Linked DNA regions of Mus musculus: region 2 is reported to be linked to region 1. The links are microRNA targets in miRTarBase. Many come from high-throughput screens and were not tested one by one. Region 1 holds a microRNA gene; the other region holds the end of a gene's coding sequence.

The links. The annotated mature microRNA mmu-miR-323-3p reads CACAUUACACGGUCGACCUCU and lies in region 1 at 1,136-1,156, opposite strand. An mRNA with a match to its seed (bases 2 to 7 or 8) in the 3' UTR can be bound and repressed. Matches are read on the target gene's strand: a 7mer-m8 pairs with bases 2 to 8, a 7mer-A1 pairs with bases 2 to 7 and ends in A, and an 8mer does both.
Region 2: the mRNA of Ccser1 is a reported target of mmu-miR-323-3p. Seed matches in the 3' UTR shown: 7mer-m8 at 2,571-2,577 and 7mer-m8 at 1,009-1,015.

Annotation. Positions count from the first base shown.
Region 1 is chr12:109,710,297-109,713,713 of GRCm38, reverse strand. It overlaps Mir323 (microRNA 323), which reads right to left and starts at 1,206; the gene lies at 1,121-1,206. It overlaps Mir299a (microRNA 299a), which reads right to left and starts at 3,076; the gene lies at 3,014-3,076. Mir299b (microRNA 299b) reads left to right here and starts at 3,021; the gene lies at 3,021-3,069. It overlaps Mir380 (microRNA 380), which reads right to left and starts at 1,911; the gene lies at 1,851-1,911. It also overlaps Mir1197, Mir758 and Mir329.
Region 2 is chr6:62,379,732-62,383,148 of GRCm38, reverse strand. It overlaps Ccser1 (coiled-coil serine rich 1), which reads right to left. Exons shown (of 11, transcript NM_183310.2): 11 at 286-3,364. The coding sequence ends at 2,882. Among named protein-coding and RNA genes, the nearest start is that of Gm22212, 820 kb to the left of the region's middle.

The sequences.
Region 1 (3,417 bases):
GGACAAAGGACACCATTCAGAACGATAATCCACTCGCTGGCTTTGTGGAGAACCAGTTATTCCTGTCCCCTGGCTGGATGCTGACAGGACCATCCTTCCCTGAGACTGGGATCTGGACCACGAAGCCTCCAAGATGGGATTTGATACTGAAAAAAAGGTTAGCTGGGTGTGTTTCATTCTCATCAAAGAAACAGAGACCCAGAAAACCTCTCTTCCGGTACCAGAAGCGAACACTGACAAGACTACCTCGGTAATTCCCCAACGTGACCTTCAGACCTGGCAGGCCTGTTGAATGCAGGGTTGCACACTGGATGTTAGTCAAAGTGCTCAAGCAAGCCATTAGTTGATATATATCTGACAGCCATCCCATCACATGCCCCAGTACAGCAGACCTCCATGGCATGATCCTGAAGTTATGTCACAACCAGAGAGCAGTGGCGCAGTAGAGACTGGCTATAGGACTTACCACCATTTTGGGTAACCACAGAAAGGCACAGATGCCCCCAAACCAAAGATGATTCCTCCCACAGATTTAGCATGCAAGTGTGCTAAGGTGACCTGCGACCTGTGCCATATATAAATGGCATACACACACCCTGGTCATGTCTGACAACATGGTACGTTTCTTGAACTTGGATGGCCCCATATCAAGGAAGGGATCCAAGTATAGGACAGCATTGGAAGCCCATCCAATACTACCATAACAGGCACATATGTTGCAAGTACTGAGGATGCTGTCTCCAAGTCTAACAGCGTACAGCTGGCTTATTGCCTCTGTCCCCAAAAGTTGAGATCTCTTCCAGGAAGTTCTCCAAGGGAAGGTTAGATACTGAGGGTTAGTGGACCAGGTCACAAACGGCACAAATATAGCGTGTGCTCTCTGGTCAACCACCTCACGCACCCACACGTGTATCACATGTCGATGCCACTTTCCTGGTCTGCAAGTCACCCTGCCCACGAAGCTGCCAAGCCAGAGAAATTTGCTGAGAAGAAGGCTGCCACACAAGAGTTATTGTCAGACACAAGAAAAGACAAACCCGCTGGCTGGGTTGCGCTAGCACACACATTTAGTGTCCCCACCCCACAGCTGGTGTTAGCTCCAGGAAAGCTCGCAAGGCGGGATTAGATACCGCAAAGAGGTCGACCGTGTAATGTGCGCCATAAATGAAGCGAACGCGCCACGGACCACCTCTCTCCAAGTACCAAGCAGCAGCAGTAGGAAGACCGGGACACTGGCTCTTCCTCAAAGCAGATGTCACCTCCTGGAAGTCTTCCAAGGCGAGATGTGATATTGAGAAGAAGTAGACCATGTGTCCTACGTCATAAATAAAGCGTACACACCATGGTCAACCGCATCTTCAAATACCTTGAGGTAACGCTGGCTGATTCCAGCTCACTTTACTTAATTTGGTGTTACCTCCAAAATGCCTTCTCAATGAGTGTCACAAACTACCAGCAATCGGCATGTGTGGCAATGGCCACAAACTCATGTTTAATGCCACTATGACTTCCAGGATGCCCTGTAAGGCTGGGCTGGGTGCCAAATATTGGCTTTGGATCAAATGGCCAGAGTCGTAGGTAATGAACATGGCCTGTAGCCAAGCACTGGGTAATCTGTGTTGGATAGGGTCTGCCGCCTGAGCCCTACTCTCAATTGGTATGGCTTTCAGAAAGCCCCTGGTGACCGGCTGATGCAGAGATGTGGTGGACCATGCTGTACATGCTGGAATTAACGCACACACTCGACAGTCTACCATCTCCCCAAGTACTGTGCTGAAGCCAGGACAGGATATCTCCCATGAAGTTGGCTCGGTCTCTGGAAAACCCTCACGAATGACTTTGATAACGAGAAGATGTGGACCATACTACATACGACACAGAAGTAGCGCATGTTCTATGGTCAACCATCTTTTCAGGTACCATGGAGAGAGGGTGGTGCAGGAGCTGGCTTCTTTCCTCATGATTATCACTTCCAGGAAACCCTAGATGCAATGTTGAAAAGAGACCACCATGCATTGCCTGCTGCAGATGCAGAGAATATAGCAAAGAGAAGTTTGCAAGGACGCGAAGAGAAGACCCCGTAACTAGCACTGTGCCTTTAAGGAAATATTGTTCACAGGAAGCCCCCAAGGCGCATTCACTATTATGGGAAGGTGGACCAAATTAACATGCGCTGTAAGTAAAGCAAGAAGCATGGACAACCTCTACCCCAAGGCATTTGTCCTTCTGCCTTGCCCCCCCACCCCCAAGGTTAATGGGGCCTCTTTGGAAACCTTCAAAGCTGAAGTTGATATTGAAAAGAGTAGGCCAGGTTACAAATGGTGTTAATAATACACATGCAGTTTGCTTGATCCCTCTTCAGGTACCGTGAGGTCATTGCTGATGCAAGAACCAGAGCCCTGTCTCTGAGGCTAGCAGCATCTTCAGCAAGTTCTCCAAGGCTGGGCTGGAGGTAAGAAGAAGTGAGCCAAGAAGCAACTTTGATCTGTAAGCATACATGGAGGAGCCAGGCTGGGTCATCTTCCTCTAGAAGGCTAGACTTGATATGGAAAAAAAGATACTATATACGAAGCATCAGTGGAAACAGGGACTGTGTCTTCATGCATCTGTCTTTGCACTGTATCATGTAGCCCTAGCTGTCCTTCTATGGGCATAATGTCTTGAAGGCATCTGATGATAGCTTTGCAGATGATGAAAACACGCAGCATCCCTTGATGATGAGCATCTGTGGAGCTAATTGCCACTTTTTCAAGTCCTAAGGAGGGAGGGAGCATGCCCAGTTGGGATGTAGGACACCTTCCTGGAGGTTGTCATCATCCTTGAAGAAGCCCTTAAGGGCTGCACTGAAGCTGACAGGAACACCTTGCCACATGAATTAACAGAGAAAGCACACAAAAAGCAGAGGGATGTTTGGCCAAGCAGCCCGATGTAGAGAGCAAGCCAAAACAACGTTTCTTCTCTCACTTCAGGCTTGCTCGAGGATGGTATGGACTGGATGGCTGGGCTGGATACCAAGAAGCGGTTTACCGTCCCACATACATACTCAAAATGTATGTGGGACGGTAAACCATTTCTTCAAGTACCGCGTGACAGCAAGGACAGCTGTAAGAAGGTTCATGTCTGCCAGGTTGCCTCAGGACACCTCTTCAGGGATGGTGTTGAGAAGAAGCAGGTCATGGAGTCTACTAACCAAGAGTCGCCTAGACACCCCTGTCACTGAGGTCACGAAGAGCACTGATCCCAGAAAGCTTTGTGGTCTCCTCCCCAGAGATGGCAAGAGTTCCCAAGGCAGAGCTCAGCAGAGGAAGGGGGAGATTATGTCATTTCCCATCATGCAGGAAAGAACACACGCCATATTGAAAACCATCTCTTCCAGCATCATGGAGAAGCCCTGATGATGAGTCTACTGGCGTCTCC
Region 2 (3,417 bases), not on the chromosome of region 1:
TTTTCATGTTTACATGTCAACAAATAATGGAAGTAATAATAATAAATCCTTGAATAATGTGTGTCTCTAGCACCACTACCTAAGCATGTTGCTAGAGGTGGATTAATTGTTATACAGTGGCAGTAAGAGTTTCATTGCATCATTTAGACAAAGATGACTGTGGATGAGAGAAGCAAAGATAGTTTTGGAAATTGCTCAAGATTCTGTGTGACACTTAGCATATAGAAATCTAGAAAACACAACAGTAGACTTGATCTAGAAAGAAAGACTCATATTCCAGTGGTTACAAAAGTGGGAATCATTTATTTCAGGTAGACACAGTTGTCCTTCAAGGAATGACTCTTCTACATCTGGTGTTGAGAAGAGTCTGCAGCAGAAATATTACATGAGTATTCAGACTTAGCTACACAAATACATGCAAAGAAGAAAAAGGAGGAGACCATTGCTTCATCAGAAAAACAAGCACTTTTTTTCCCTGGCATCATGTCTTTGGATATGTACCGCCTTGGAGAAATGTATAAAACTGTTTAATATGTGGAACAGGCTTAGAAAACTAGAGATTTTAGTACAAAGAAATCAATTCACTGAAAGAATGCCCACGCGAGGTTGTTAGAACTTACGATAGCCATACAGAGAAACTTCTGAAAGAACCCCATGCCATTGTTTCTGGCCTGCACTAACGTCATGGGCTTGCACCTTCTATAGGCCTGAGTCACACTGGGTATTACATTGAAACTAGAACACAGATGAAAATACTGATACAGAACAGTCTCAAGGTGATCGTTCCAAAAATACCCTTCCTTTCAAAAGTGAGCAGGTTATCCCAGGGTTTCTTCTTGAATGTTTCAGTTTAAAAAAGGTTTGTCAAGAAAATACTAGTGTTCAAAACATCTCTTAAAATGTCTATTAAATGACAGGGTATTTTAAATAGATTATTTCTTACAAAGTATAATTCAAAAGCTATCTTCCAAGAAAACTTAACTGTAAACGTCAAAATGCAAATGAAAAACATTACTCATTTCCTTGCATATTTTTCCATATCCTGGAGAGGAAAAAAAAAAAAAACCCTTGTTTTGTGTGTCATGCTTGGGTATTTACAGTTGTAAAATATTCTAACAATAAAAAACAATGTTCAACAGAAATCAAGCTGACTTCTACAACTAATCATTTTGTTTTATAATTTCCCAAGTTTCATCCAGCCCATATAGCACATCCACATGAGGTTTGTAGCTCCTAGAGGATGTTGGGAACGCTAAGCAGCAAGCTGCAGTGCCTTTTCCTCTTTAGCAGAATTATGAACACACACACACACACACACACACACACACACACACACACAAAACACAAGAGAGCTTGCGTGATGTACATGTCTTCGCTAGCCAAATCAACTAAGAACAAGCTTAGCCAAACTTCAATAATTAAAGCTGGGAGGGGCAACTCAGGATTCTTCCCCAAAATGTAGAGTTCAAATATATATTTTATATTAGGCAATGCATGTTCAGTGTAGTTCTATTAATAGCAGCTTAGGCAAATGGCATGCTAAAACTGCCATGTCATTTCCCATTTGTTCGTCTCATCCGTGCATGCTGATGGATTCTGTCTGATAGAGAATGCATGAAAAATAGCACGTGCACTGGGTTTGATAGTTTCATTCCATCCACTGTACTGAATGTGAGTAGTTACTAGACCTGAACTTTCTCTAAGGAAACAGTCAGTTGATACTCTTATTAAAAGAGCATGATGCTTCTATTTAGCTTTTTGGATCTATCTCCTATACACATAAGTATGCAACATATTAGACCTTACATGTCAAAGACTAATATTTGCTACAAAATGAGACTCAAGAATTTTGGTTGGAGATTTATTTTGTAGGTCCAATTGCCAAAATCCACACATTTCAATATTTTGTTGAAAGTCTAGTTGAGTGTGTAGCCAGAATTTTATATATAAGTTACAAAAAACAAACCAAAACAAACCAAACCAGTCATTCTGTTTCTTAATTTAAAAAAATCATGGCTTAATGAATGTAAAGTAAACCTAGATGTATATAAAAATAAATGAATATTTTGAAAATACAAAAAGTTGTAGCAAAAGAATATATAGTTTAGAATATTATATCTTTGAAATGTAAATGAAAAAATGTTCTTTATCCATGATGATAACTGAGTGTGCCATTTGACAAAATTATGCTGACTGTCACTTCAGTCTGTGATATTTTGACACTTTGTATATCAGTAGGAAAACAAAAATAAAACTAAAAAGCACAACTTTGTGAAGAACAGAGCTGTGACTTTCTATCCCTTATGAACTAGTGTAACTAAACATTCTAAAAACTAAAGAAATGGTCCTTCCCTCCCAATAGCTCCACAAGCTTGAATGTATGTAATAGAGACAAATGTATCTCAGGTTACATGCACACAAGCTTCATTCCACTAACAAACATACCACCTAGTATAAGCTTTAAGTCTGTTCTGCTCTTTCTAGTAACTACGTAATCTAAAGCTGTACAGTTCCTTCTTATACTTCTTCTAACCTACCTTATAATAACAGCATAAACAGAGAGCTATTTGACATTACTTTCTTGAAACCTCAATGCATATTAGCAAGTGATACAGAAAAAAATAGAAATAACTTATAGATTACATAAGCCAGCAAGATCATCTCACTCATTATACATGTATGTTTCCATAGAGAGAGCAAAGTCTTCTGAACAATTCAACCTAGTCAGTCAACATACTCAAGCTGTCATTCTTAGAAATAAAATAAAAGCCCATAAGTCTTTGCTTAGAGCTAAACATAAAAGTAGTAAAATGGGCATGACCACTCTTAGGTGACACATGGAACAGTAGTCATTTCTATTGTTCATAGGGTATAGATTTTTCTACCCATCCTGCTGGCCCAGAGTCTGGAACTCTGTTGTATGTAAATTGTGGTGGAGAAAAACATTCTTCCTGCTGTATGTGTGTAAGGAGATAGGTCCTCTGGGTGGCTGTCCAAATCTGCCTGTGAAGGTGGAGTGCTGTCGGGACAGAGCTGCTGGGTCCTTTGGTTTTTCTGAGAACATGGGCAGCCCTTCTGGCTTAGCTGCTGCCTTCAGAAAGCTCTGTCCCATAGTTGTCCTTGAGTTCTGAGTCATTTCTGATGTGACAGCTTCGTGGTTCCCCCTTGTGTGTTTCATAACTCCTCCTAATTCCTTGTCCTTCAAGAAATTGCTAAGACACAGACCTGGGAGTTGGCAGATATTCTTGTAGGGACTTGTCTGGTCAGCTGTAGAATATCTAAAACGGTCCTCGGTGGGAGTATGTATTGCTTTTCTGTCCCTTGTGCTGTGACTTTGACTCATGGTTCGATTTCGGTGTGTAGTCTGTGAAAGAAACAGAAAAGAAAAACCATCTTACAGTGTCCTGTGTAGTTAGA